Linked DNA regions of Arabidopsis thaliana. The protein of the gene in region 1 interacts with the protein of each later gene in a pairwise test. Each region holds a gene or a part of one and is shown in the gene's direction. Other genes may lie near its edges. The genes, in order: LOV1, EMB1135, AT3G60670 and HDG2.

Evidence for each region.
Region 2: the proteins of LOV1 (region 1) and EMB1135 interact in a two-hybrid assay, tested with the Arabidopsis thaliana proteins (one large-scale study listed by BioGRID).
Region 3: the proteins of LOV1 (region 1) and AT3G60670 interact in a two-hybrid assay, tested with the Arabidopsis thaliana proteins (one large-scale study listed by BioGRID).
Region 4: the proteins of LOV1 (region 1) and HDG2 interact in a two-hybrid assay, tested with the Arabidopsis thaliana proteins (one large-scale study listed by BioGRID).

Annotation. Positions count from the first base shown.
Region 1 is NC_003071.7:644,706-652,409, forward strand, and holds LOV1 (NAC domain containing protein 35), read left to right. Parts: upstream 1-2,832; 5' UTR 2,833-3,299; coding exon of another isoform or gene 3,300-3,338; coding exon 3,339-3,630; intron 3,631-3,772; exon of another isoform or gene 3,773-3,960; coding exon 3,961-4,229; intron 4,230-5,260; coding exon 5,261-5,944; 3' UTR 5,945-6,115; downstream 6,116-7,704. Other genes in the region: AT2G02455 (uncharacterized protein), read right to left, coding at 3,300-3,512. UniProt on the Arabidopsis thaliana protein: Transcription factor that acts as a floral repressor. Controls flowering time by negatively regulating CONSTANS (CO) expression in a GIGANTEA (GI)-independent manner.
Region 2 is NC_003070.9:29,849,672-29,856,939, reverse strand, and holds the start of EMB1135 (RING/FYVE/PHD zinc finger superfamily protein), read left to right. Parts: upstream 1-3,473; 5' UTR 3,474-3,724; coding exon 3,725-4,333; intron 4,334-4,410; coding exon 4,411-4,584; intron 4,585-4,669; coding exon 4,670-4,800; intron 4,801-4,993; coding exon 4,994-5,070; intron 5,071-5,659; coding exon 5,660-5,841; intron 5,842-6,031; coding exon 6,032-6,109; intron 6,110-6,320; coding exon 6,321-6,453; intron 6,454-6,723; coding exon 6,724-6,784; intron 6,785-6,860; coding exon 6,861-6,942; intron 6,943-7,260; coding exon 7,261-7,268. Other genes in the region: OCT2 (organic cation/carnitine transporter 2), read left to right, coding at 1,217-2,800. UniProt on the Arabidopsis thaliana protein: Required for normal embryo development. Necessary to acquire heat stress (HS) memory, by modulating nucleosome occupancy and regulating heat-induced gene expression.
Region 3 is NC_003074.8:22,422,421-22,428,945, reverse strand, and holds AT3G60670 (PLATZ transcription factor family protein), read left to right. Parts: upstream 1-2,576; 5' UTR 2,577-2,754; intron 2,755-2,871; coding exon 2,872-3,048; intron 3,049-3,154; coding exon 3,155-3,229; intron 3,230-3,408; coding exon 3,409-3,549; intron 3,550-3,906; coding exon 3,907-4,251; 3' UTR 4,252-4,510; downstream 4,511-6,525. Other genes in the region: AT3G60660 (spindle/kinetochore-associated-like protein), read right to left, coding at 5,779-5,856, 6,002-6,115, 6,220-6,249, 6,325-6,430, 6,509-6,525.
Region 4 is NC_003070.9:1,511,736-1,521,760, reverse strand, and holds HDG2 (homeodomain GLABROUS 2), read left to right. Parts: upstream 1-2,860; 5' UTR 2,861-3,191; intron 3,192-3,534; 5' UTR 3,535-3,580; exon of another isoform or gene 3,581-4,703; 5' UTR 4,704-4,736; coding exon 4,737-4,978; intron 4,979-5,056; coding exon 5,057-5,174; intron 5,175-5,751; coding exon 5,752-5,940; intron 5,941-6,309; coding exon 6,310-6,723; intron 6,724-6,797; coding exon 6,798-6,899; intron 6,900-6,970; coding exon 6,971-7,171; intron 7,172-7,198; exon of another isoform or gene 7,199-7,236; coding exon 7,237-7,411; exon of another isoform or gene 7,412-7,495; coding exon 7,496-7,767; exon of another isoform or gene 7,768-7,840; coding exon 7,841-7,936; coding exon of another isoform or gene 7,937-7,957; exon of another isoform or gene 7,958-8,016; coding exon 8,017-8,373; 3' UTR 8,374-8,387; exon of another isoform or gene 8,388-8,461; intron 8,462-8,467; 3' UTR 8,468-8,860; downstream 8,861-10,025. Other genes in the region: AT1G05240 (Peroxidase superfamily protein), read right to left, coding at 72-257, 347-559; AT1G05220 (Transmembrane protein 97, Putative), read right to left, coding at 9,105-9,266, 9,498-9,818. UniProt on the Arabidopsis thaliana protein: Probable transcription factor. Involved, together with PDF2, in the regulation of flower organs development by promoting the expression of APETALA 3 (AP3) in the epidermis and internal cell layers of developing flowers.

The DNA of each region.
Region 1 (7,704 bases):
TGATGACCAATGAAATTGTAATGATGGTAACCAAATCCAATTAAATTCTATTCTGGGCAAAAACGAATCGATAATTGGTTAAAAGTGTTATTTTAGTTAGGACAAGACTTGTGATAGTGATCGCATAAGACTTTTAGGGGTTTTATTACTGGACCTATTCTAGCATCATCCTATTTCAAATCCTTAAATTCTTGTTCTCGAACCCGCTTTAAATTTTTCCTCGTTTCATATTATAATTGATTTAAGCAAAAGTATGATCGGTAGGAAATTCTTACAGCTATTATGCACTTTTATAACATTTGTTTTCCAATCAGACTCAAGTGTATATAGTGTGTCCCTTCTAAAATTCACAACTTCTATAACTATATTATATTTTCTCACCACGTTTTGTATCTTTCCTTTTTTGTTTTGGTTTAAAGCAATATGAGAATTTTACATGCTTTAGGTGTTTTTTTTTTCTTTTTACAGCAAGAAAAAATGAAGAGTACAACCCAAAGTTTACAGAGTAATGGTACAACAATTACCAGACGAATTATCTTCTTACAGCTTGGTTAAATCAATTGCTAAAGCACAAACTAATGGCGTGTATATATATTGCATATTTAGCCAAATAGTAAGCTTGAAGATTCTAAGACTTTCAAAGTAATCCCTTGCTGAGTTGCTATTATGCTGTATATGTACAATAGTATATAATAATTAAAACTTTAACGAAGACAAACTCATGTGAAAATGTAATAATCAGAAGACAAAATATAAGTTAATAATATGTCATATATATAATAATAGAAATATATGTTCTTTTCGAATTAAAATTAAAAGGTCTTAATTTTTTACAATTGCAAAAACTTTAAACTGAAAAAATGATTTAATCTTCTGGAATGTACATTATATAATATCCGCCACCCTACTTGCTACCCCTAGCTAAAAGCCAAACCGATGGAAGACTCGCTTGCATTAAATTATGCACTAGCTTAATCTACTTTTAAACTCTCTTATAATACATTTAATTCCTAATTTCTATCGCCATTTTATATTTTTACTGATATCAATATTCGAAGGGTCCATGCCTATGATTCCATGTCATACATAATATTTCCTTTCATACCTACATTCATTTTAATGAAAACCTTAAATATATATCCAAAAGCTATACATTTATGTAAACTAAACTGGTATAATAATTTTTGAAATATGTGTATGTCTACTGATTTACTATTTGATTAGTTCGTAGTAAATATATTATAAATTGTTTAAACATAAAAACAAAAAAAATCATGTAACTAGATAATTTTCTTGACGAAGATTCGAATTAACAACACAAAAAAGTTCATTTTCTGATATCGCAATGGTCTAATTAATGGTTGTTGAATAGTTTATCTTTTCCACGTTTCATAAGCTTTTTTGGTACGCGACATCCATATTGAAAAATGTCTGTCTACACTGAGCTCAATCCAATGAAATTTGTTGTGAATGAGATATATGCATTCACGGATTTCTAAAAAATATGAAGTCCATGACATCCATTGAAACATTTGACAAAATAAAAATATAAAATATGAAGTCATTACAACGTAGAGTAAGGTTTCTAAAAACCCCACTCTCGTTTCGTAGAAGCCCCACTACCACCTCACTTTAATTTCATTCATTATCTCATTTACGTTGATACTTTAAATTCATTTTTCCATATAAACTTGTAAGTATGAAATTTGTACTTAGTATATATTTTATCTATCTTTCCATGATGAACTTAAATATATTACAGTTTGCCTAGCCTTTTTAGCTCAGCTATATATATATATATATATGCTAATGTTGTTACGATGTTTATTGTTTTGTGTCTATATCTTATTTACTTTTTTGAATTATTAATAAAATGGAACAATTATACATATAGATTATAGATACATATATCTAAATATAATATATTGTATCTATATATATTAATACAAATTTTAAAGAACTGGCGGGTTTCTAAATTCTAACATATGTACTGTAAGTTCAGCTTCTTACTAAGTCATAGGAACATGGAGAGCGTTGGCAAAATCATGGTCAGTTTGTTTTGCATTCATAATTGAAGACATAGTAGTATCATGCAATGAAGATATGGTGGGCCAAATATATCATAAAAAAAATAGCGAAACAATAAGAGAACGTTCGTGAAGCTGAAGCATATGAAAAACACGTAAATATATTTATGACGAGTGACATAGTAAGCATACGTGATATTATTATTTAATTAGTAATATAGGCCACCAATCAGAATTCTTTGTCTCAACGATGAATAAATTAACTATAATAATCCAAATTTTTAACATTGTTTTAAGAATATCCGTTATTCAATTAGTCTACCTATAACAATGAATTATTATGGATCCTTTATCGCTATGCCTTGATCAGGAGAATTAGATTAGTTACACTTTCGCAATTTTTGTAGCGATGGATTGGAACAAAAACCAAAACAAAATATAGACTATTTACACATAAATTATACATGAAATCAACTTAATTTGTTATTCTCTAAAGTTTAGATTGTCTTTATAAAATACCAATCATATACCTAACTAAAACTAATGAATCTTTAACGTGCATGAGATGGTGCATGTGCAAATAAAACTATAAAGAAAACCATGATATATTTTTTCTAAGAATGATAGTTTTTGGGAATTTTAGACTTTCGGTCTATATTTTTCGTATGTCCACACCAATTGTTGATATTGCATTTAAAACATTAATTATTATTTTTTCCAAGTATAATTGAACTAGTAACCATGAGGTCCATGACATCCATTTGAAAGATGTCAATTCGTAATATTGTTTCAAAATATTTTTTCGTTTATAATACATAAACTTTAATTTTTCCTGTAAAAGATATCAACTGTTCTTTTCATTTGTGTTACAACCCAATAATTATTAAATATTTGAAACTTTAGTATTTAGAAAAAATACATAAAACTAATAGATAGATATTTTATTTTATTTTGAAACAAAAAGCTAGAAATGGAGAGTGAGAGAAAGGTCCAAAGGCACGGCTAAGAAAACAAAACCGTGGACACCCTGTCCTCAATTTGACAAGTCTTTGTCTCCTCCTTAACTCTCTTCTTCTCTCTCTTTGTCTTATTCTAGTTTGGTCTCAACTCCCAAAAACGATGACGTTTCATTCCTATATAGTCGTCCTCTCTTCTTCTTCTCCTCCTCTTATCTCTACTCAACACCACTCAATTTCATCTCTCTTTTTCCCTTCCATTGTTAGTATAAAAACCAAGCAAACCCTTAATCACTTTTCATCATCATATATCACCTTAATCCACATGCATACACATATCTAGTCTTTTTGATATATGGCAATTGTATCCTCCACAACAAGCATCATTCCCATGAGTAACCAAGTCAACAATAACGAAAAAGGTATAGAAGACAATGATCATAGAGGCGGCCAAGAGAGTCATGTCCAAAATGAAGATGAAGCTGATGATCATGATCATGACATGGTCATGCCCGGATTTAGATTCCATCCTACCGAAGAAGAACTCATAGAGTTTTACCTTCGCCGAAAAGTTGAAGGCAAACGCTTTAATGTAGAACTCATCACTTTCCTCGATCTTTATCGCTATGATCCTTGGGAACTTCCTGGTAAATATACATTCACATAAACACACATAAATCATCTCAAACTATTTGGAAATCTTAATTTCTATTCATATGTTAAGATCTTTCTTCTCTCTTATCACTTTCTCTCTCTATTTCTTTTTTTTTAACCTATATATGTACCTACCTCCTTATGAAGTATTACTATGTCGATCGTTAACAATTCTCAATATCTTTAAACGCTTCTCCCTCTTTAGTTTCTTTCTTAAATTAACCTAATTAAACAACCTACATATATATCATAAGATATACAAATATGTGTATGTTTTCATAATTAGCTTATGTATGTTTAATCATAGATATATGTATATGCAGCTATGGCGGCGATAGGAGAGAAAGAGTGGTACTTCTATGTGCCAAGAGATCGGAAATATAGAAATGGAGATAGACCGAACCGAGTAACGACTTCAGGATATTGGAAAGCCACCGGAGCTGATAGGATGATCAGATCGGAGACTTCTCGGCCTATCGGATTAAAGAAAACCCTAGTTTTCTACTCTGGTAAAGCCCCTAAAGGCACTCGTACTAGTTGGATCATGAACGAGTATCGTCTTCCGCACCATGAAACCGAGAAGTACCAAAAGGTATAAATTCTACTATAACTCTATATATATCCTATTCATACATACATAGATATAACCCTAGCTAGGTGGTGAGGCCTTTAAAATTGAAATTAATCCCTAGACAGTTTGAATTTTTTCTTTTTTGACTAGTTTTATTTATTTATTTTGGAATTGATTCGATAAGATCAAAAATACTTGTGAATGGACTAAATGTCAGGCGGCGTTTGCGCTTAAATCCAGAAAAATGTTCATGTCATATGCGTGAACTCTTTAAATTGCTAGACATGGCCCATATGTTATAGTAGAATACATTAATAGATAGATGCATACACATATATATAAACACACAAGTATCACACTCGACATTCATATACCTTAATTCTGCAGAGACATAGTTAGTTTTTCTTACAATTTATGACATGAATGTTCCTGCTCTTCCTCACATTAATTCATGTCTTCTATTTAAGTTACCCAACATTTTTTGAAATAATTTGGCATATATGAATTATACCAACATATTTATATGCGAACATTTAAAATCTATACGAATGATAACGGTTTATGGAGTAGACCGAAAAAATATTATGTATACGGAAAATGACAATGGATAGATAAATACATTTTTTGGGCTCTTTCGACTTATATGTCGTCACCATTTGAAACCATAAATTTATAAAATTTTCTATGTATATATATGATATTATGATGTATGCATAAGACAGCTAAAACAACAGGGTTGACATAATTATCTATGTGTATGTATTGCACATTCACTTGTACTAATAAAACTAAAATTACGCAATTAAATATATAAAAAATAATAAATATAATCATCTTAATTATATTTGCATTGTTACGTCATATGATAGTACTCTAAATTTCTTCTAAACGTGCTATCTTTTTTTGCTAATGCTAACTTTACATAGTTTGTGAATCTTCTTTCAAAACCATATCTTCGATAAATGATATTTTTCATAGATATTGTTAGTCTATATTTGATAATTTGATATATGTATCAAGTCTCTAATCAATGTGCTCATGTATAATTATAGGCTGAAATATCATTGTGCCGAGTGTACAAAAGGCCAGGAGTAGAAGATCATCCATCGGTACCACGTTCTCTCTCCACAAGACATCATAACCATAACTCATCGACATCATCCCGTTTAGCCTTAAGACAACAACAACACCATTCATCCTCCTCTAATCATTCCGACAACAACCTTAACAACAACAACAACATCAACAATCTCGAGAAGCTCTCCACCGAATATTCCGGCGACGGCAGCACAACAACAACGACCACAAACAGTAACTCTGACGTTACCATTGCTCTAGCCAATCAAAACATATATCGTCCAATGCCTTACGACACAAGCAACAACACATTGATAGTCTCTACGAGAAATCATCAAGACGATGATGAAACTGCCATTGTTGACGATCTTCAAAGACTAGTTAACTACCAAATATCAGATGGAGGTAACATCAATCACCAATACTTTCAAATTGCTCAACAGTTTCATCATACTCAACAACAAAATGCTAACGCAAACGCATTACAATTGGTGGCTGCGGCGACTACAGCGACAACGCTAATGCCTCAAACTCAAGCGGCGTTAGCTATGAACATGATTCCTGCAGGAACGATTCCAAACAATGCTTTGTGGGATATGTGGAATCCAATAGTACCAGATGGAAACAGAGATCACTATACTAATATTCCTTTTAAGTAATTTAATTAGATCATGATTATTATCCATGACAATAATTATTAATGCTGCTTTGCCATATTTTCATACTCCTTATATATTGTTATGGCGATAGACAATGATTGATTACTGCGAGTTTATGTAATGGAACTGATTCTCAACATATATAGTCAATTAAGTAGTTTTTTTTTTCTTGTGTTAAAGTTAATTTCTTTAAGCTAGATTCAACGTAGTTAAAAAAAAAAAATTCACTGTAATATATGAATACAAAATGACTAAGGAGTGCAATCCGTATCAAAAGTTCTCAAACAAACCAAAGAAGAAATAAACTTATTGGATTAGATTTTCATGTACGAGCCCTAACCGAAACCAGACTAAAACCAAACACTAACTAAACCATAACAATAGTAACCGTAAATCCAACCTAGTGATATTTAATTTGGTCTTCATTCCATTTCAAAATTTCAAATTGAATGTTGATATTTTTTGTTGTTTATTCATCACTTATTAGAATTCATTTTGCATTGTCATTTACATGCATTAGATCCAAGATGTTTAATTTTAGTTACCTGTTAGTGCGACTTTATAGATAAACAATCCACTAACTCTTAAGAATTCAACAACTAATTTTGAGATAGAAATATATAAAGATAAAAGATGTTAGCTAGTTTTTTGTCTTTGTAAATATAAGACTAATTAGGGTTTGACAAAAAAAAAAAGCATAGGACGTGCAATATTTGGTAAGAGCAGTTGTTCCCGTGATTTTGTCAGATATGACCAGCATGAACAGTTGTATGTTGTAAGAAATCAGTTCCCTTTTTCTCAATGAGAAAAACAAATTTAAACTTGACTTAACTCTCATACTAGTCTTTTTAATCCTAATTATTAACAATCTTTAATAATATATGTAATGTGGCAAAATCCTAATATATACTGACTTGAATATGATACGAAAGTACTAATTTTAAAGTTTTTTCCCTTTCTAACCGGTCGATGTAACCGTATTTGCATGTTTTCTTAGATTATTTTAAATAATATATGTCTATCACCTATATTAGTAAGTATATATTCATAGATTATAGTTGATTTTGCCCAAAGAAAAAAGAAGATTATAGTTGATTATACCACATCATTGATATTCTGTGACGAATTAGATTACAGTTGCGGTAAACGTATTCGCTAGCTAGTACGACGTGCTTAACGCAAAAATATTCAAAGATAACGAATCCGATTAATATTGGTTCGTTTCTTAATTCTTACATCTAGAATCACACATAAAAACAATAAAATAATTAAAAATTTGATGAATTTTTTATTTTTTTGAGTGATAAAAGGCAAAATGTTTTCCGTTTTTTAGTAGCTTTCTCTTTCAAAATATCTATTTCTGGTGTATATCGTGAAAAAAACTTTCAAAATACGTGAATGTGATGATCGTTGAAAACTTCAAATCTCATTTCCCCTAGGTTACTATAAAAGCCCACTATCCTTTAATGGGCCAGGCATGCTATTTCTGTACAATACAAGATGGACCTGAATGTTTTAACTTTTAACTTTTATCTTTAAGGTCAAGTTAATTGAAAACAAAAACCAAATTTGTGGATCAATTTGGATGCCTCAGCCTACGTATAAAAACATGTTTTTTTTTCGTAATATTAATGGAAATGAATATGTTAAAAAAAAAAAATACATGTTTTTTTCGTCGACACTTTTAAAAATAAAATAAAATTTAAATAAATGTCTTTGACCAAAATAAAAATAATGTAAAATTTGGGAGTGGGGAATGT
Region 2 (7,268 bases), on another chromosome or scaffold:
AGAGATCAGGACCAAAGCTAACCAGTGCGCTAATCAACTCGGGATATATCGTATTGTTTAGTTCAGCAGAATCGCTATTCTTGTTTACTTTTTTTTGCATCTCGACATTGTCGAGTCTCTGCCTCGATCAAAGTGTGAATATTTGATATTGATATGATTTGTCTTACCAGTTGCCACGTTACCATCGTGATTAATGATTAATACTACTTTTAATCATATCAAATGGTTTTTTCTCACAACAAAAGAGACAAGTGAAGATAATAATATTATTTGTATGGCCACGATTCATCGATCAAACGGGATTAGTCAGTAGATTTGATTTTGCTTTGGACAAAAAGTAGAACTGAGAATCGGCGAACTCTTGTTTTATTTATTTTATTATAGAACAATAGGTAAATATGTAAATATCTTCAATGCCTACTTACGTTTATATTATACGTAATAATATATTATAGTCAACATTCAAAAGCCTTGTTTTAGAAATTTTAGCCAAATACCCGTTATTATACACTTGAATTTAAACGTAGATTATTCTGGAGGCGGCTCTTAAACTAATTATCTGGAGGCTCTGGATTAATTTATTTTCTTAAATTCGTGGATATTTTAGATACTATTACCATCAGTCTTGTATATATATATATAGAGAAAGCGATGATGATAAAAGTATAAAACTATTGACTCCAAAAAGAGAAAAAATTTTTAAAAAATGAATTAGATGTTTTCATCCTTACCCACAAACGATTCATAGTAACGTCAGGCTCATTATCCACAGAATAATCACACCAATGTCATCACTATCTAAATTAGAAAATGTAATATCAAACAAAATTGGGGAATCGAAATTGGTTAAATTAACAGAATTTGCACTGGTCTGATTATTTATACTCTGATTATTAATATAACACAGAAAAGCATTACTCTTTTTCTTACACGCGTTTATGTTTTCAAAAAGAAATATTTATCCGATTACAACAATTATATGGAGTCATAACACTGTAAACAATTTGTACACCACATTTTTAGAAAATAAAAATTTAACTTGATTACAACGTGGAAAAGTCAACACTTTCCGAGCTTTCCTTTTATAAAAGGAGGACGGAAGACTCGCCGTCTCAAATGCTTCCACAAAACAAAACAAAACAAACAAGAAATCCCAACAAACAAACAAACAAAAAAAGAGAGAAAAAGAAAAAAGAGAGGTGAAAACTCGTGCAACATGGCAGAACCAACTCAGCCGCTTCTGACCGATTCCAACTCGTCATCACCGAGATCTCTCGACGACACAATCGAGAGTTACATTGGAAGCTTTGGGTGGGCTCAGTTTCTTCAAGCGGCTTTAGTCTCATTCTCCGGTGTTTTCGACGCTCAACAAACTTTCATCTCTGTGTTTACAGACTCCGAACCCACGTGGCACTGCACCGACTCGAACTCGATCTGCCATGAATCCATCTCCAACATCTGTATCCTCCCCAAAACCGCATGGTCTTGGGATTACTCTCCTCACGTCTCTGTTATATCCGAATGGGGTCTCCAATGCGCCGGCTCTTTCGTCAAGGGCTTACCGGAGAGTTCTTTCTTCGTCGGATGTTTAATCGGAGGTTTGGTTCTCTCAACACTTGCTGATTCTTCCTTGGGTCGTAAAAACATGTTGTTTCTGTCCTGTCTCGTTATGGCGATATCAACGATGCTAACGGTTTTCTCACCAAACATTTGGGTTTACGCTGTTCTTCGATTCGTTAATGGATTTGGTCGAGCGACGATAGGGACATGTGCGCTCGTTCTTTCGACGGAATTAGTTGGGAAGAAATGGCGAGGACGAGTAGGGATAATGAGTTTCTTCGGATTCATGCTTGGCTTTTTGTCTCTTCCTTTGATGGCTTACATGAACAGAGGAAGTTCTTGGAGGATTCTCTACGCATGGACTTCGATTCCAACGATAATATACTGCGTTCTTGTTCGGTTTTTCGTTTGTGAGTCTCCAAGGTGGCTTTTCGTTAGAGGCCGTAGAGAAGAAGCTATTTCGATTCTCAAAAGGGTTGCTTCGATTCCGTCTACTGATGTAAGCAGTGGTGGTGCAATATCTATGAGTTTTTCGAGCTTACCTTTTGAAGAAGATGAAGAGAAGCCTAGTACTAATGTTAACATCTTCACGACCATGAAGGTGTTGGTAGAGAAAAGATGGGCGCTTAAGAGATTATCCGCGGTAATGGCCATTGCGTTCGGGATTGGTTTGGTCTATTACGGGATGCCTTTAGCGTTATCGAATCTTGATTTCAACATCTATTTAAGTGCAGCGTTTAATGCGTTGATGGATTTACCAGCGAACCTCATCACGCTTTTCCTAGTCGATAAACTCAGTAGGAGAAACGCGCTTATCGGATTTACGGCTTTAGGTGGAGTCTCTAGCGTTCTCATATTTGCGTTACATAATATGAGAATTGGAAACCACGGGGCGTTACAGTTGGCGTTAGAGCTAATCTCTTACTTTAGCGCGTGTTCGGCTTTTAACATGGAGATGATATACACGATCGAGCTGTTTCCGACATGTGTGAGAAACTCGGCTATCGCAATGGCTAGACAGGCTTTGGTGCTTGGTGGAGTTTTCAGCCCTATTATGGTAGCAGCTGGTCGGAAAAACGCGTTCTGGTCGTTCGGATTGTTTGGTCTTGCTATAGGTTTGTTGGGATTGTTTGCAGTTGGATTGCCAGAGACTAGAGGGAGTGATCTATGTGACACTATGGACGAGGAAGAGTGCAAAGACCGGCGGAGTAAAGTCGCCGTTAATAATGTCATTGCATGAAATGGTGAAGAATTTGAAAACACATGTGAAATTAATGTAGATTTAATTTAGTATTTATCACTTGATTACATTAAGACTTACCACATATCTTTTTTTTTGGTTAGTTGAAAAGTGTTTCTAAGAATGAGCCATCAAAGCACCACTCTGATGAAACAATCTCATTTTACAGTTTACACCTATAACACATGGATTTCTTGAATAACAAAATAATTCAAATTTGTCTCGTTTGGATATTGATGCCGATGGTTAAACGTTTGGCTGTTTGATTTTTGTTAGAGATAATTGTGTTTCTGTTCTAATTTTCACACGTTGTGTGAAAATGAATCGTTCCAATCCCAAGAAAGTATATTCATTGGGGTTGTTGGTAGTTGGCTGTTTGGTAATTGAATGGGAAGAACAAACCAGACAGAAATTTGTACACTTCTTGGTAGATATGTTTAAAAGGTTTAATTTACAAATAGGCCCATCTATCAGCCCTTTTGTAACCCTTTTAGGCCCAACTAAGTGGTCTCAAAGTTCACAAACCCAAAACTTATGTGGATTTATTATTTTAAGCCCACACAAACTAACGAACGGTGAGCTGGCAAGTCACGTGATGACACGTGATCCATCAACCCATCACTTACCATTACCCCAACCGGTACGGAAGTGGTTTTGTATCTTCCTACTTCGACTCCTCTTGGGTAATTATAATTAGTTTTAGATGAACCAAACAATCCCAAAATAATATTAGAAAAAGGGAAGAAAATCTGAAACCAAAAAAAACGAGAAGGGAGTCGAAGAAGAACCTTTCGCGCTCTGACGAAATTCATTACTTACACTGGATTTATACTTTTTTTGTCTTCCTCTCTCAATTATCTCCTTCAACGCCACAAGATCCTAAGGCCTCTCACGGATCTCTCTTAAGATCAATCGCCGCGGCTCATGACGCAGTCGCCTGTTCAACCGCCTCCGCCGCTCCCAGCTCAGCCGCATTCCGCCGCCGGAGGTGTAATAAGAGGCGATGTACAGGTTAGGTGCGCAGGCTGTCGCGTGATTCTGAGGGTGAAAACCGGCGTTGTGGAGTTCTCGTGTCCGACTTGTCAACTTCCCCAAATGTTGCCGCCGGAGCTTCTTTCTAGGGCACGGCCGCAGTTTCCGCAGTCTCCACAACAACCACCACAGCCAATTCAGACGCTTCCGCCACCGATTCAACAGCAGCTTAAGCCTCTTAATCTACCTAGGCCTCCGGTTCCGGCACATGGAATCGATCCGACGAAGATGCAATTGCCTTGCGCTAACTGTCAGGCTATCCTCAATGTGCCTCATGGACTCACTCGGTTCTCGTGTCCTCAGTGCCATGTCGAGCTCGCTGTTGATGTCTCCAAGCTTAATCGGTCTTTAACTGCTTCTCAATCTCATTCTAATCCTCCTACTCCTGCTGCTCCCACAGTCCCGCCTCCGCCTCCTCCCGAAGAAGTCAATGAGGAAGCTATTGAAGTGGAGAGAGAAGAAGATGAAGGTGGAACGGCTGGAGAAACGTTTATGGATTATGTGAGTGCCTCATCTTGAGATCATCTTTTTCTGTCTGTTCAATGTTTTTGATGATACTAATTTGTTTCTTTGTGAAGCGTCCCCCAAAACTTTCGATCGGACCTCCTCATCCTGATCCAATTGTGGAAACATCATCTCTATCTGCAGTGCAACCCCCAGAGCCTACTTATGATCTCAAAATCAAGGAAGAGCTTGAAAGGTCAAAGGCTTTATCGTGTTTGCAGATTGAGACATTAGTTTACGCTTGCCAGGTTGCTTTTAAATGGCAAAAAGTTTGGTTAATGGCATTTAAACGTATCTTCTACCTGTATGACAATGGTTTTTTTTTTATTACAGAGGCATCTCCAGCACCTTGCTGATGGTACCAGAGCAGGCTTTTTTGTTGGAGATGGTGCTGGTGTGGGCAAAGGGCGAACAATTGCCGGGTTGATTTGGGAAAATTGGAAACATGGAAGGAGGAAAGCTTTGTAAGTCTTGTAGAAAGATACTTCTGCGCCATTTACATCCTTGATAAGATATTGTTAGCTCAATTCAATCTGACTTATGATTATACTACATTTGCATAATTGTGTCTACGGTGTCCTTTTTTGGTTTCTTAGATAACTTAAAGTAGGATGAGTTCTAATACTATTTGCTCCTTTTCCTTTATGATTTACATAGGTGGATTTCTATTGGCTCAGACTTGAAATATGATGCAAGAAGGGACTTGGATGATGTGGGTGCTACATGCGTTGGAGGTATTATCTTGATTTTGGCTGTAAATTAAGTTTGTAATTCGCTTATTTTCTTGGGTCACAAATGCTTCATATGTTATACATAATTACATATAGCTTATGCTATAAATTATTTTCTGGCTCATTGTTGAATAGAAAATTTTGAAAGTGGATGGTATAGAGTAGACTGGATCAGAATGAGATTCTGACTTTGCTGAATGGATAAATTGACTCATGCTTTAATATTACGATGTAGAGTACACATGTATTTTTAGAGAACTTATTTTCTTTACTGATAAAGGTAATGGGTCCCTGAACTTTGTTTATGGTGTCTTCATGCCTAGAGAATGTTATGGGTAGCTGATGTTTGTGCAGTTCATGAAAATTTCAGGTAAATAAAAGTTGGACTGTAACTTTAGAATAGTCCAATAGGATATTTGATTCTTAGTCTCATTAATCCTTTATAGGTTTGAGCTTGGAATTTTAATAGAATATTAGGAGATGGAAAAATACGACAAATCAAGGGAACCATGTCGATGGATAAGTTCATTCAAGTGAACAAATGTCCAGTTTGTTTTTTCTGCAACTAAATAACAATATGTTTGACGTGCAGTGAATCCTTTGAACAAGCTACCCTATTCTAAGCTTGACTCGAAAAATGTTGGTATTAAAGAAGGAGTGGTATTCTTGACATACAATAGCCTCATTGCTTCCTCTGAGAAGGGCCGTTCTCGTTTACAGCAGCTTGTTCAATGGTGTGGACCAGAATTTGATGGTCTCTTGATCTTTGATGAGGTAACAGTTCTATGAATGAAGTATATTAAATTATTTGCGTTAAAATCATCATCCCCCTTTTTTTGTGAATTGAACAATTTGAGTATACCCTGTCGTTGTAAGTTGCTTGATCACTGGTTTTATCAATTTTGGGCCAACCTCTAATCTTTAGTACATTGTGCAGGTACTAATTTGTTTTCCTTTTTTATAGTGCCATAAAGCGAAAAATTTGGTACCTGAAGCTGGGAGTCAGCCGACACGCATCGGACAGGCAGTTGTTGACATTCAGGTCTGGCTACTTGAAACTGAATGTTCTTATCAGTGTTGCTTTTAATATTGCTCTTGGCTCTGAAGAGTGAGAGATTATATACTTCGACTTGTCTTTTTGGGTTGTACTTTTTCTCGGTTTCAGATAATATAGTGTATATTCTAGTTTAACATGCTTAATTTGTGGTTAGTGCCATCTAGTTGACTCTAACTAATGAATTCTGGAAAAGCAGGATAAGATCCCCCAAGCACGTGTTATTTATTGCTCGGCTACTGGGGCATCAGAACCACGAAACATGGGTTATATGGTCAGGCTTGGTCTTTGGGGAGCTGGAACAAGTTTTAGTGATTTTAACAAATTCCTAGGTTGGTTTTCTTTTCTACTCCTGTTGATTAATTGATTTTTTTTTTTTTGTGTGTGTGTGTAACATTTGGATTAGTACGTTCTATCTTATAGTTCGATAAACATGAATTCATTTAAGTGTCAGGTTTTAGCTTCTGTCTAGAGCATATACAAAATATTTCATTAAATGAAGTTTGACCGCATTCACTGAATTCTAATAATTACTTCGCTTCTCTTACTCTACCTTATGCATTGCATAACTTGGAATGGAACTTTAACACAACTTTGTGCAGGTGCCCTTGATAAAGGTGGGACAGGAGCGTTGGAATTGGTTGCCATGGATATGAAAGCGAGGTTTTACAAGCCGTGTCATACTATTTAGCCATTTGCATTGCTCATAATTCATTCTAACACCCCTTCTATGTAATAGGGGGATGTATGTATGCCGAACCCTGAGTTACAAAGGGGCTGAGTTTGAGATTGTTGAAGCTCGTTTAGAAGCAGGAATGGAGGTAAATCATCTTCTATCTAATATTATGTTGCTTGATTGCTTCTCATATCTTAATTGACTATCTAGCTCTATATAAATGTCGTGTAAGCTCAACAAAGTAGTATATATGAAGAGTAGGGGGTCTCTGAGGTAGCTTGAACCAAGTTCTTACATTAATTTCTGTCTGCTTTATTGGGATTAGATAATTTTCAATGGTGCTTTGATATTTTTTGGCAAGCAAGCTCATTATTTCGAGTGTTCCCCTGTTTATAGTTTAGAGATCCCTGTCGAAAAATTAAAATCAGGACTTTTGTGCTGTATTACTCGCTTTCTTCTGTAGGCAATGTA
Region 3 (6,525 bases), on another chromosome or scaffold:
AAATAGAGAGTCCATGTATTTGTGTGTTAGGTGAGTGGTATAGTCAAAGAAAGTACAAATGGGAGAACAACACATTTGAAAAAAAAAGATTTGATCGACAATCCTGAACAAGCCTCACGGTCGAAAACGCCATAAGACTATCAAAGGTATCTAAAAGATTTAATAGTATCAAGTAACTTTCAAAATTTGCGTTGTCAGCTTAATAAAGACCAGTATCAGTGGTTTGTGTTCAAAACCGATGAGAATAACCAGACTATGTTCGAACTGTTACCATTAAATTTATCAAATATTAATGTCTAGATGTTTTTTTGTACAAACTACTGACAATTTAAACTTCAATGATATTTATTATCACTTTTTTACTTCACCTAATCTATTTAGATATTGTATAATTGCTAAATCATATTTACAATCACCCTGAATTTATTACATTAGATTTACTTTAGTGAAATATTCATATATATAATAATATATTTAAGTTAATTTATATATAGAACAAATTTTAATGTACCTTTTCATTACATTTGATATTTTATGACCATTTGTATCATGAAGTCTCTTATATTATTGGTTAAAAAAAATAAAAAATTAGATTATAGTTTTTGATATAAATAAATAAATCTTAAAATATGTAAGTATCCTATATTTTTTAAGAGAGGAAGTAGTGAATTAGTGATGCACCTTACATTTACCGTGTTCGAGTATATGCTGAAAGTGAAAGGTTTTTAAGTTAATAATTTGTGTAACTTTTTGTAATCTGATCCCGCTAAAAAAAAAATAACATTTTACATTGATACATTTGTTTATTATATCATTCTGTCTAAATTCCACAATGACATATAGAAATAGTTATCTTTTTTATTACATTGTGGGACATAAAATCAAATACAAAGACAAAATTGAGGGTCGTATGTCACTTTCCCTTGATTTCATTTGACCGTTTGGTTACCAACGATTTCGGTTGTTAGATCAAAGTTTGTTCTTCAACGACGTCGGTTTTGACTAAATCAATAACACCAATCGTGCTGTTGTGATCAGGACCACCCCAGATGTTTTAAATTCGATTAAGGAGAAATGTGGATCAACCATAACAAACAATCGTAAGTAGCCCAAATAAAGGATAAAAGCCCCAGCCCATGTAGATATCGTAAATTGACTAAAATACCCCTGATGATCAATAGTAACTAAAAGGCTAACGAGAAAAGGGGACAGCTGGATCGAAATCGAATCGGATCAGATCAAAAGAAAGCAGTGGCGTCGCATTCTTTCTCTGCCTGAGGCTGCTGCTGCTGCTCCTCCGTACCAACTCTGATCCACCTCTCTGTCCCTCTCTCTCTCTCTCTTTCTATACATACACTCATATTCTTTTTTTTTCATTTTTAAAAATTTGTATGCAAAAATTGAGAGATTATTTTACTTATAATAATAAAATGAAAATAATAATAGGTGGTCTAGTGAGGTACGTAGGTAAGTTTAGTAGTATAAGCAATAACTAATAAATCCCATCAACTTTGCACTGGTTTTCGAGAACAGTCTACAGCTGTGACAATGGGTCTTAGGGTTCTTGGAATTTGCTCTCTATTTCTTCCTCTATTCAATGTATCAATCATATACTTCATTTAGCTATTACAATTATGTTTTCTTAATTATTAATGAAGCTTATTTTTATTTTTTTGTGTGGATGGTAATGTTTTTAATTATAAAACGGTGCTTAGCTTTAATTTGGGTATTTATTCTCACATTTTTACTGAACGAAATACACGTAGTAGTAAAAAGAGAAATTTGTTTTTAGTAGGTTATATTGGGTTTACGAAATCGCCACTTAGAAATGATCAAATGAAAAGTAGACTGTTGGGGAGAGTCTTGTCATTTAGCACTTTTTCACAGTGAACCAGACAGACCTTCTAAACAAAAACAACACATACAATTATATCATGAAGAGACGATACAGGAAAATCAAATTGGTTGTATAAAGAAATCTCGTTTTACTTTCTTTTTAAAAACCCAACTCATATTGTTATAAGAAAGAGAGTTTTTTTTTTCTGTCTAAAGAAAGAGAGATTAAAACTCTGAATTTGGCTTTAAAATTTTGATATTGACGACTGTCACATACCAGAGGACTGAATTTTTTTTAATACTATTTCTGAAGAAAATGCTTTCTTAAATTTAATTATTAATTATAATATAAAGTTCATATTCACACGGTATATAAAAAAAAGGTTTTTTCATATGACAGTAAATATAAAATTTATTATTATTGCCAAGCTGAATTCTAATAAATATACACTTCTGTTTGTCAAGTTGGAACTGTATCTGTCAATGAAAAGGTACTTAATAATGATAAATAACCCAAAATTGTTACTTTTCAACACTCATAATCGAATTCTGCTATCTAGTAGTAGTCATTACGTAGTAAGTTAGTAACGTATCTAAGTGAACCACTTCTCTAACTAATGGATAAAACTAAATGAGAGTAAATAATCAACAAAACAAATTAATTAACGAATACTAAAGATTACAACACATCATTAAGGAGAGAAAGAAGAGAAGACTCATTTGAATTTAAGCTAGTGGTCACTCTCTCCAGGCGCCGCTCTCTCTTTCCTTCTTTCTTTCTCTCTCTCTCTCTGAGAATGGTCAGTCAATTTCACCACTGAGAGAGCTCAAAATCGCCTGACCTTGACCTTACTCTCTCTATCTCTTCCCCGAGAAAACCACCTCCCAGTGTAGATAACCAGAAGAAGATAAGCCAAGGTGGGTCTTCTCAATTTTACCTTTTTAGTCCAAAAAACATGAAATTGAAACATGGGTCTTGATTCATGTATGGGTTTCGTCTTTAAAGTTTACTGTTTTTTTTTTGGTATTTTGCAGATGGAATCTGGAGAATTTCCTGCATGGCTTGAGGTTCTGTTAAAAGACAAGTTTTTCAACGCTTGTTTGGATCATGAAGATGATAAGAAGAACGAGAAGAACATATTATGTATCGATTGTTGTCTTACCATCTGTCCTCACTGTCTCTCTTCTCATACCTCTCATCGTCTTCTTCAGGTCTCTCTCTTAAAATAAACAAACTTTTTTTTAATGGTTTCAAAAATCTTCATATTTGTCGGAAGAAAAATATGAACTTGGTGTGTTTCTGGGAATCTTTACGCAGATAAGAAGATACGTGTATAGAGACGTTTTGAGGGTTGAAGATGGTTCTAAGCTAATGGATTGCTCTTTAATTCAGGTATAACTCGGTTCTGGTTGTATTTAATTATCATGATAAAACTCTTAATCCGTTTATTGTATACATTAAAAGTCCAATTTTCATTGGTTCTTGTGCCCTAAAATTTTGACAGCTTTAATTAATACTCGTTGTCTTTTTCTTTTTCTTTGTGTGTGTGTATGTGTTGATGATGATTAAAGCCATACACAACGAACAGTTCAAAAGTTGTGTTCATCAATGAACGGCCTCAGTCTCGACAATTTCGTGGTTCCGGTAACATTTGTATCACCTGTGACCGGAGTCTCCAGTCTCCTTACCTCTTCTGCTGTCTCTCCTGCAAGGTCTGCTTTTTCTTGTTCTAATTACTTAAAAGGAACATCTTTTCTTCGTTAATTAAGTTTTCATTTAAAATTCTATCACATACCCAGTCCGATTTACCACTTTTCTTCATCTGGGTCGATCTTCTTTTTTAGAAATTTCATTTTTTGATGCACGAGTACACGAAATTGTCGTCAGATAAAAAAGGAACGTTTTTATTTGTTGTCTCATTTATTTTTCAAATTCTTTCAAAATACACAATTCAATTTCTTTCTGTTTTTGTTGTTTTTCTGCTTTTTAATATAAACACGCGTGTACGATCATATTTACACGTAATTGTCGCTGAAAACACAAACACATGGTTTGTTTGTTTTATGTAGATTAGTGACGTCATAATGAGACAAAGAGGACTCTCAGGGTTTCTCCGCGTCTGCAACGTTCTTGATTTAACCGACGAAGTCACGACAACGACACCGAGTTCCACTCTCGAGCCCACCGGGTCGAACCGAACATCTTCCGAGTCAAGTGGTAACGAAGGAGAAGACATGTTCTGGTGTCAGGCGCTCGCTTGCACCGCCACTACTGAAATCGTTAGGAAGAAAAGAAGCAGCTTGTCGACGACTTGCAGGAGAGTCACGGAGGTGGTTTCAACGACTAACACGGAAGCTCCGGTGAACTTTTTAAACCGTCGGAAGAATCCGCCGCAACGCGCCCCGCTTTATTAACTCGTGACGTTTGGCGAAATTTGGTTGGTCCAAGTGGTAAGTAGAATGAATACACGTAACTACTATAGTCTTATTTTATATTGTTAATCAATATCTCTAAATAACGAATCGAATTTTAGGTTTTTTTAAGAAATGGAATTAAGAATAGTTGAAAAGATCTCTCCTGGTTTTGTCTGACTCTGATATCTGTACCGCGTAATGAGAGAACTCTATGTTATTTAATTTAAATACTTTTCGTATAATGAAACATGTTTTCGTATAATCCGTTTTATTGCTTCCCATTTTTTATAATTTTTTAAAAATACCTCTTCCTCCACGAATAGCAATTTCAGTACTATTGAGACGGCTTGATTTAACATTTACAGCGGCGAAGTAAATTCTTAAAGGATTAATATTTGTTGTCATTAAATGCATTAGACCGACCATATCTTTCTTGGCTGAGTTAAATGATACGTTTTGAAAATAAAAGAAGTAAAATGGTAGTGATGGAGAACTCTATAAGTCTAAATGTGGTCTGCAGAAAATTTATGAATGTTTCTTTCTTGTATGTATATAAAATTTAGGTCACAACTCACAAAATAGTAAACATGTTAATTAATTATTTGATATCAGTTGGTTGGTAATAAATGTGAATTTTCTTTAAAAAATGCATGCGATAAGACTGTATAGTGTGTGTTTTTGTCTTTATGCATAACGTATTTTGTGGGTTTTGCACGAACGAAAGACGACTAAAATTGGTTATTGGTTATACGAAAAAAGAAGACAAAGAGATTGGAACAGACATTATGGATAAACGTGAAATTGTGAATGTTTCTGAGGCAAATAGTCTTTTTTTTTTCTCTCCTGTTTCCCTGGACCACTTTCTTCTTCCCATTTCGTAGTGCCTCTTGATTTTTATTTCAGGACATATGAACAACAATAATGCAAGGATCGTCGTTTTCGCTTGGTTATTAGATTTGTTTTCTTCTTCTGTTCGGAAAATAATGTTGCCAAATTTACTTGTCCGTATCAAGATAAATGTATGGCAGCTACAATTTACTATCTATTGATTTTACGAATAGACAGTGACACAGATAAGATCCTTAAAGGTATTGGAGTATTAAGAAAACTATGTGGAGGTAAAAAGTCACTAAATAAAAACGGAAACCGAGTTTTGCTACTTTGTAGGTTTGAATGGGACAGGCCATTTGTGCACTGGAACTTGAACCAGATTGCTTAGAGAAATTGCTTTTTTAATATTATGAAAATAACGGAAATCGAGTTTTTCTACTTTTATGCAAATGTGAAAATTGCATTAAACATTTTTGTCCATATTATAAATTCAAATCCTGGGCCTAGCTGGGCCTGTCAGGCGGGCCGGTCTTAAGGATTAAGATTAAGGCTTAATGATGTTTAAGGGACCAGTAGACCTTCTATGATTCTATGGTACAAGGAGCTCAGAAGAAGCAAGAAACTATTGAAAAATGACGGAATTACCCCTTACGCTTGTGAAAATGAACAACTTACTTGAGGCAAGTTGGTTGGTTTCTAGTGAGGCTTCATAAGAATGATGACGCGGTTTTGTCCAATGCGAGTCTCACTAATACGACCAAGGTGGCGAAGAACCTGTTAATAGACACATCAAAATTTGACAATAAGCATGTGTTATCGATGTTAGTCTAACTCTGGTGAAGAGTTTAAGGAAGCATGAAAATGTTGTTTCTTTTTTGTTGAAATTTTGAAATGAAGGGAAGATATATTAGTTACTTACAGTAAGTATTGCTTTTCCTGTGTTGTCTAGTTTCAAACTTGGTCCCTTCATGTCAGTTTCAAGAAAGAAATGTTTGCCCTTCACTGCTTGCTCTGTTACGATATCTCGTAGTTTCTGCATATAAGAGTTTCAAGACAATCAAAGATTATAACAATGTTTTCACTAGTGAACGGATACTATCATCTAGACAGTGTGGTTGATGAGTTATATTAGCTTACAAGTGCTTTCTCCCAGAGATTTTCCGCTAGCTTTGGCAATATAAGACAAAAGCGTCAGTACAATTGTAGCCTATATAACTCAATTCCTTCAGCTGGTAAATATACCTTCTGTTTTGAGGCTGCAATAAGATGAGCATTTGCTTCAGCATATGAGGCCATGTCATTGATAGCAGCATTCACTTTCTCAAGGGTGAGCCTTCCTCTCATGTATCTTGTTTTTTGGAAAAATGTCAGAAAAGCGGTATGCATTTCACATAAACAAGGAGAAGAGAAAGTAAAATGTACTTACGATGAGAGTGAATTGAG
Region 4 (10,025 bases), on another chromosome or scaffold:
TTATATACATACTATAGTCTTCAGTTTTGGAATGACAAAATCACTAGTCCATTGCGAAAATGGAATGTTACCACTGCCACGGCATCTCTGGCGACCAAGGCAAGAACATCAGCGCAAGAAATGAGATTAGGACACTTCCTCTCCAGCGCTGTCTTGGCCGCATCCACCACTTCATAACCTTTCAGGGTCAGGTTGGGGACAGCGTCTCTTTCCGCATCATTCTTTGCAGATTTCAGAAGAACGGAACCATCACATCCCTACATGAATCATTACAAAAGAGTGTTAGGACTAGCTAGTTTTTTCATATCCCTTGGTTAACAGTCTCGAACAAGTGAACCAAGCTTACTCTGACGAAACAATCATGGAAATGCATCCTTAGAAGTTTAGCGGCAAGGGTTTTCTGGCGAGAAACATATTGTACTGTGACACCACGAACAATTTCCTCTGCCTTGGGACACTTAGACCGGTAGTAGTCGAGGTCAAGCAACTGTGGAATGGCGACAGAAACTCCAACCACGCTAAGAAGAACCACAAGGGCGAGAATGTTCTTGATCGCCATTACCGTCTCTCTCTCCTTTCTTCGTTGAGTGTTTGCCAAGTAAGGTGAGAACGAGCTTTGGAGATGAAGATGAAGGAGACATTCTCAGGCCTTTTATAGATCACCCAGCGGCTTTGAAATAGTCCATGGAGAAATGCCAAACAAGATTTAGATAATCCCATTTGCATTTTTCCTCTGTTTCTTAATGAGGGTTGAAATACAAGAGGAGCTCGAGGAGGACATTGCATGGCCTCCACTATCTTCTTGATCTCTGCTGGTGCTGCAATTAAATATATTAAATTTCCACAATTAGAAGAAATCGAAATCATGCAACGATTAAGAAAGCTTCAAATCATCTTTTGCGCTTTGAAAAGCTATTGACTTTGGAGAAGATGTAGTTTGGGGAATTTTTTTATTAGTCCTTAGCTCTCAAAAGTTAAAAACTATAATAAACTGTTATAGTTTGTGGAATCCACGTTCCTGCATTCTCAATGTAAACTATCCAAGTTGCTCAATTCAGTGATTGGATATTACAATATACGGCTAGTTTCTTGTGAAACAAGTCGTCCTATAGACTAATGCAAAACAAAACAAAAAAATCAATCATTTTCCTTAACTAACTTTCCACTCTCGGAGAATGAGACTTTCGGCCTTGCCATTCTCGTTGGGGATAAAATATATAATGGGCCAAAAGTTTACTTCCGTCTTATGGCCCATATACGAAGCCCAGAAACAAAAAAAAACTACGATCTTGAATTTATTACAAAAGCATCCATTTTTTCAACAGAAGAATTCCATTTTGAATCTCAGATTTGATCATATTGGCAGAAAAAACACTAATTGAAATAAACTAAAAGTTTGACAAAAAAAAGAAATAAACTAAAAATAAATATTTGAGACTTACGAGGATGAAACAAACTTAAAATGTGAATAGTATTGTAGCAATTCTTTTTTGAAATAATTAACTTTTAGTGATGTAGCAGGAAAAAAGAAAAAACTAAAAAAAAAAAAAAAAAAAAAAGAAAAAACTAAAATGTTAGGCGTTGAATTACTAGTTTTTTTTAGTAGGAGAGTACGAAGAAGGAAGAGGAGGTTAAAGTGCAAGAGAGGCATGAGAGCAGTAAATGGCCTAAAGCCCATGCAGCCTCTGTGTACACATTTAATGCGTCGAAACTATTCGCCACCCTATCGCATACGTACGTACGTATAACTCCATCTATATATCTGTACCTACATATATACAGTAAAAATCAGAAATAAGTTGGGTTATTGTTTTTTTATATATAGTTATTTTAAAGAATCTAGGTAAAGTATAAACTTACTGAAAAGAAAAACTTGAGTGTTAAAGCTATAGCTATAAGGACTTTAAAAAAAAAAACAAAGCTTAAGAACTAGGTAATTAAATACGCAGTATATTTCTCTATATATTCGCGTGATAAATTAAGATGAATGCATGGCTTTTACAAATTATCACCTTTTTAATGGGTGATCCGTATTTTAAATAGCTTAATTGCACGTTATAGTTATAAATGCTTGGGCCACAAAGTAATTAATATTTCTAGGCATGTAAAATGAAGTCTTACTGTGAAAAAAGTGATATTTCATTGACTTCCTTAAATTGAAAAAACAATTGTTTCGTAAACAAAACTCAAAATTAAGGTGATGATTTTTAGATTTTCTTCTTTTAAATGAAATAAAATAAATACATCACTCAATCAACTTCTGTCTGACTAACAATAATACAACCTAAACTTCTATAATATTTAAGAAAATGCCATGTGGAAGAAGAATCATGAAATTTTCCTTCTTTACAATTAAATTTATAACAAAGATATGAAATAATAATAAAATAAAATAGTTAAAAATATAATAGTCATATTTTTTGAAAGTAAAAATTAAATTTATATCTCATAAAGATAAATATTAACTATAACAAGTCATTGAATTTTAGTTAAAAAACTATATAATTTTTTTCCATATTATAAATAATCTAAGAGTATTAAAATTTCAGAAAATTACTTTTAAAATTGTATCCTTGACAAATGGGGACTATTGTCTAACTTTTTCTGTAAATGGAGAACTGTATTAAAGCAAATTTCAATATAGTTAAATCTTTTTTTAATATAGTTAATTTTGTTAAGTGGTGATTTATTGCATATGCATAAGTTATGAATAATGCTAATGATTTTTTAAAAATAACTACATATCTAATAGATAAATGTAAGTCTCATAGGCTCATAGACCGTTAGCCGTCATTCCTCACCACATTATAATATTTTAAATAAATAAAAAATAAAATTATTTTAGGTTGACATTGTATATAAGATGAAAAACAACACATAATTTTGTAACATAAATAAAATAAATTGTAACATATCTCTCTCTCTCTATATATATATAAGCGTGTAGGATAATTAAGTGTCCCTCTCGCACCATTTAATTTCATTGCACCCTCTCAATTCTCTCTGTCATTACTCTCTCATCTCTCTTCCTCCAAGATTTGCACCTACCTTTCAAACCTTTTGCTCGCCAACAAAACCGCGCTTCACAAAACCATCAGCGGTTTTCCGAGAAACAAATCTCAGACCAGACACCGCTCTACTCTTCTCTCTCTCTCCCTCTAGGGTTTCGTCGCTTCTTCCTATATCCCAGTGTATGTCTCGAAAACCTCATCATTTCTGCTGTTTTCTTTATTTTATCCATTAATTCATGTACACAAATTTATTTGTTTAAAGTATCATTGGATCCATTACACTTCAGTTTTCTTAGCATCTTTATAAAACTCTCACTTTCATGATGTTTTTTTTTTATAATTTAATATATCCTGTATGTTGAATTTTCAGTTAGTCATCTATATTTTGTCTTAAATTTTGCCTTCTTTAGCATTAATTAATTGATTTCTTGCCTCTAATATCTTTCATTCCTCTCCTAATTTGCTTTCTGACTTTCTGATTTATTGTATTCTTCTTTAAATAATCTTATCAATTTCTGCATAGTCAGAGATGAAACCTTCAAGAAAACAATAAAGAGGAAAGATTAAAGGTTAGTATTCCCTTGCCTACCAAAAAAAACAGAAAGGTTTGTATTCTCTTCGTATATCCTTATTTTCATTATACGTTTGGTTTTATATATAAACACGTGTATATACTTTATAGTAGTAGTATACATTTACATATTAATGTGTGTAATAAAAACGTTTAAATACGATGATGATGATAAGAAATAGCTGGAAAAAATTAATACATCACCCAGGCCTTATGTCACGTTGGTTGTAAGTTGTATAATAACTATATGTTGGTCCGTCGCACAGGTGCACAGATATAATACTATTTTTTTCATTTCAATTTTTTTTTCTTTCTTAATCGCCAAATAGTAGTTTACACTTTTTCCTGAAGAGTTTTTATTTTTTGAAAATCTACTAATGATTATATTTAATTAAATTTTGTTTTGTTCTCACGAAAATATTGTTTTTTTAATAAACAGGATAGAGTTGGGAATTTATTTGTACCTACTTTTTCCCATTTTATTTGCTTTGAACAAATGAGTCCAACATTTCTCTTTTCGTCTTCTCTTTCCTATCCCATCTAAATCAAAACTGATCAAAATACCTCGAAATTTTAAATTAAATCACCATCCATCAAAGCTATTATAGTGTAGAAATTTTAAAGTTTTTTCTTTGGACAACAATTGATTTCCATCTACACTACATATGATATGACTCTTGAATCAATCATAGTTTTTATTTCAGTCTGCTGATTAGTTTTTTTCTTTTCTTTTAAAAGGGTAAAAAATCGGTAGTTTCGAATAATTTTGAGTATGTGAAAATTCATTATTTTTGGGTTGGTTATTCAATAACAAATTAATTTGTGATTGTGATGTCTTTTTTATGCAAGGCTCTTTTTTCTTGCTTTCAATTAGTGGGTCCTTTGTTTCCTACAATCATCTCCAATTCTTCTGTTTGCTTATATCATTTTGTATGATCTTCAAGAAGAAAGATAAACGACTCCGAAGAAAGATTTAAGTTATTGTTGTTCATACAAAAAGAAGGTTGTAAAGTTGTTGACGTGGACAAAAGTATTGCCATATTTTTCCAGCCTCGAAGAAATTTCCCTTCTTCTTCAAACCCTAAATTTTGACAAAACTCTCTACTTTTTTTTGCTTCTAGGGTTTGCTTTCAGTTTCCGGAGTATAAGAAAAGATGTTCGAGCCAAATATGCTGCTTGCGGCTATGAACAACGCAGACAGCAATAACCACAACTACAACCATGAAGACAACAATAATGAAGGATTTCTTCGGGACGATGAATTCGACAGTCCGAATACTAAATCGGGAAGTGAGAATCAAGAAGGAGGATCAGGAAACGACCAAGATCCTCTTCATCCTAACAAGAAGAAACGATATCATCGACACACCCAACTTCAGATCCAGGAGATGGAAGCGTATGTGTTTAACTTACTCACTTACTTCAATTTTCTTGTGTGTTTTTTGACAATTCTTTTGTTTTGGTTGTTAAATAGGTTCTTCAAAGAGTGTCCTCACCCAGATGACAAGCAAAGGAAACAGCTAAGCCGTGAATTGAATTTGGAACCTCTTCAGGTCAAATTCTGGTTCCAAAACAAACGTACCCAAATGAAGGTATACTTTTTATATTATGAACATATATACATTAGTTAATGGATCTATATATATTAGAGAAAATATATATACTTGTTAATTAAATTGTTATTTCATTCATATTAAGTCTTGTATATATACATTGAAGGGCTTATCTTTATACTTAAGAACATTTTGGGTGGCTGGTGTTTTCTTTCAGAATGAATTCATTGACTTTTGGCAGATTTTAGATCTAGTTGAGACACTTTGACTTAAAATTTCTTACTTATTTTTTTTTTCAATTGAAAAGTTGTTCCTTTGGCAGAACTATATATTTGGCGGATCAAGCTATAGAAAATTGTTTGGTTGTAACAACATTGCCTATTTATTATCTTAGTTAGAGCCATATATAATCTATAGATTGAAACGTTTTGGACACATATGCTTACGTTATGCAAATACGGTGAAACACATAACGTGTACACGAGTGTTTTATTTGAAACATACACTTTTCCTCTTTTTAAGTAAAATCCTTTGTTCCTTCGTTTTACCCAAATTAGAAATAAATCACTTGTATAAAACTTTAGAGATAACCGGAATATAAGTTTTATTTGCGCAGAATCATCACGAGCGGCATGAGAACTCACATCTTCGGGCGGAGAACGAAAAGCTTCGAAACGACAACCTAAGATATCGAGAGGCTCTTGCAAATGCTTCGTGTCCTAATTGTGGTGGTCCAACAGCTATCGGAGAAATGTCATTCGACGAACACCAACTCCGTCTCGAAAATGCTCGATTAAGGGAAGAGGTATGAGAATCAACTATTTTAAATGTTCAAATAATGTTAAGAGTTTTACACTTAAATGTTGTCAAGAAGATAAAATAAAAAATTAGAATTTGTTTTTATACCACTAATGTTATATCGCTTTCACAATAATCATTTCTTTCTTCATAAAATAAAAACTTTTATAGATTTGTATTGAAATTAGAGAATTTAAACATTTTTTTTTCATTGAAGAATAGAAAAAATTATGATATTAAATTGAGATACTAAAACGATATTTTTGGAACTGTAAGGAGTAGTAGTACATAATAACAACATTACTCAACGTTTCTTCTTGTGACCAAACTTTGAAAACCACAAGGATCAATAATCTTTCTTATTTGTCTGTTTTAGATCGACCGTATATCCGCAATCGCAGCTAAATACGTAGGCAAGCCAGTCTCAAACTATCCACTTATGTCTCCTCCTCCTCTTCCTCCACGTCCACTAGAACTCGCCATGGGAAATATTGGAGGAGAAGCTTATGGAAACAATCCAAACGATCTCCTTAAGTCCATCACTGCACCAACAGAATCTGACAAACCTGTCATCATCGACTTATCCGTGGCTGCAATGGAAGAGCTCATGAGGATGGTTCAAGTAGACGAGCCTCTGTGGAAGAGTTTGGTTTTAGACGAAGAAGAATATGCAAGGACCTTTCCTAGAGGGATCGGACCTAGACCGGCTGGATATAGATCAGAAGCTTCGCGAGAAAGCGCGGTTGTGATCATGAATCATGTTAACATCGTTGAGATTCTCATGGATGTGGTAATTAACATTTTCATTTTACTTAAAAGCAATCTTCTCTGTTTAGTTTCAACAACATTGATATGATGTTGCAGAATCAATGGTCGACGATTTTCGCGGGGATGGTTTCTAGAGCAATGACATTAGCGGTTTTATCGACAGGAGTTGCAGGAAACTATAATGGAGCTCTTCAAGTGGTAATTTTTTTTGCTTTTATTCTGTAAAAATTAAATTTCAAACTGAAATAACCACTCTGTTTTGCTTGCAGATGAGTGCAGAGTTTCAAGTTCCATCTCCATTAGTCCCAACACGTGAAACCTATTTCGCACGTTACTGTAAACAACAAGGAGATGGTTCGTGGGCGGTTGTCGATATTTCGTTGGATAGTCTCCAACCAAATCCCCCGGCTAGATGCAGGCGGCGAGCTTCAGGATGTTTGATTCAAGAATTGCCAAATGGATATTCTAAGGTAATATAATAAAAACATTAGGTTATACAAAATGTTTACTTAAGTAGAGAGAATTAATGTAACAGGTGACTTGGGTGGAGCATGTGGAAGTTGATGACAGAGGAGTTCATAACTTATACAAACACATGGTTAGTACTGGTCATGCCTTTGGTGCTAAACGCTGGGTAGCCATTCTTGACCGCCAATGCGAGCGGTTAGCTAGTGTCATGGCTACAAACATTTCCTCTGGAGAAGTTGGCGGTATAACCTACTGTTTGTTTCATAAACAGTTTTCATAATCAGAGTCAGAGTCAGAATCACAGTTCTATATTAATGAATATGCAGTGATAACCAACCAAGAAGGGAGGAGGAGTATGCTGAAATTGGCAGAGCGGATGGTTATAAGCTTTTGTGCAGGAGTGAGTGCTTCAACCGCTCACACGTGGACTACATTGTCCGGTACAGGAGCTGAAGATGTTAGAGTGATGACTAGGAAGAGTGTGGATGATCCAGGAAGGCCTCCTGGTATTGTTCTTAGTGCAGCCACTTCTTTTTGGATCCCTGTTCCTCCAAAGCGAGTCTTTGACTTCCTCAGAGACGAGAATTCAAGAAATGAGGTAACTATTTTAGTTACTACGCTCTCTTGTTCTGTTTTGGACAGAGTTTTGATGTTTTTGTGAGATTTTGCAGTGGGATATTCTGTCTAATGGAGGAGTTGTGCAAGAAATGGCACATATTGCTAACGGGAGGGATACCGGAAACTGTGTTTCTCTTCTTCGGGTAAATGTGAGTTACACCGGGTTTTGAACTATTGTTATAATCATCTGATCCTAGCTAAGAGTTTTCAATCTTTCTTTATGTCACAGAGTGCAAACTCTAGCCAGAGCAATATGCTGATCCTACAAGAGAGCTGCACTGATCCTACAGCTTCCTTTGTGATCTATGCTCCAGTCGATATTGTAGCTATGAACATAGTGCTTAATGGAGGTGATCCAGACTATGTGGCTCTGCTTCCATCAGGTTTTGCTATTCTTCCTGATGGTAATGCCAATAGTGGAGCCCCTGGAGGAGATGGAGGGTCGCTCTTGACTGTTGCTTTTCAGATTCTGGTTGACTCAGTTCCTACGGCTAAGCTGTCTCTTGGCTCTGTTGCAACTGTCAACAATCTAATAGCTTGCACTGTTGAGAGAATCAAAGCTTCAATGTCTTGTGAGACTGCTTGAAAACCATCCATTAGGTACTACTTTCACTAAATATATTCTTCTCGCTTTTACGCCATTATATGATGTAATCATATTTTTCTTCTTCTTTCTGCAGGAAATAACAAAATGGTGATGATGGAAAAAAGAGAGAGATTTCAGTTTGAGAAAAGCGGAGGAGTCAAGATCGAACCTCACAAGAGAATACCATTGAGTGTTTGTTAGTGTTAAGTTTTGGTCTGCTTATTTGATGAAACTAAGCAGTGAAAAACTTTTTACTTGAAAGTGAATATGTAGATGGTTTTACGAGGTTCGGGAATTTGACTTCCCCTGTCACATACTGAATTAGACAAAAACAAAAACTAGGTTAGAAAGAATGCTTTCGGATTTCTTTTTGTGTTACAGTTACTGTTTTTCTTTCCTTCTTGTGGTTAGATGGACCATCATCAGGAATTTGGAGTTTGTCTTTCTTTTGTATAAATATCTTATACAAGTATTTTGGTACTTTTGTAAGCTTATGTGAGTTTGTCTAGGGGAAAGCTCACACTTTTTTTTACCAGACAATGAGTGTCTCTCAAAAGGGCCATTGCCAAGTAAATTTACCTTTTGGTTCTGTTTAGGTTAAGTTCAACCAAGGAATTGTTGCTGAGTTAATACTTGAACAAAATTTCTAGAAGGGATAATGTTTTCACATTGAACATTCATACCATGTGATAAAGTAAAGTTTTCAAATGAGAAATTACCCTGGTTTATCCTCAAGCAAGCTTTCTCCTGGCTAAAACAGTTGATCTTTTGGTCGAACAAGTCACCAGACCACGAAGCATTGCCAGAATTGCAAGACCCACGAAAGGCAAATACGCCAATAGCAATTTGTTAGTCACCTTCTCTGAACCTATCATGTCTCCAAGTATAGCAGCCTAGAGATTCACAAAACACACAAAAACAAAACGTGAAAGAAACTTACAAACAAAGCGGTACAATCTAGCCTTCTCAGAGAAGCAGAGCAATCACATATACTAAAATATAGAACTCCAAAAGAATTTTCGTTTCCAAATCAAGAAAGTTGTAACATTTACAGATCAACAACATCAAAAACAAATATACATAGACTGAGCCAAATGAAAATGAAGAGAAAGAAGAAAATGTACCATGGAAGTGAGGAAAGAAGCTCCATACAACAAAGAAGTGGTACCAAACCACGACTTGCTGGTAAGAATGGCGTAGATGTTGACAATGGAGAGAGGCAATAGGAATATGATCTCATGCCAGACGAGTCCAACGAAGAAAAGAGGCTTCTCTATGAAGAGGTAATCGTTGAACTCAGAGCTGTACCAGTCTTTCAGATCGGTGAGGAGCTTCGGGTAGATTCCAGGAAATAGTATTTGACCGTTGAGAAGCGGTACATTGATAGCCATCAGTGCGAAGAAGAAAAACAGAGAGATGTTGATCAGCTTCCCCAAAGCTCCCATCTTTTTTTGCCTCTCTCCCGAGTCGTTGACCACAAAAATGAAACAGAAGAAGAAGAAGAGACGAATTCTTGAGATTCACGCACGGTTTATTTAATTGTTGGTTTTACTTAACCGAACCAACAGACCCGAGCTATTTCTCTCTTTCTAATTTTTATAACTAATTGCTGGTTTAATTACACCGAACCAATTCAAACAAGACTCAAAGAG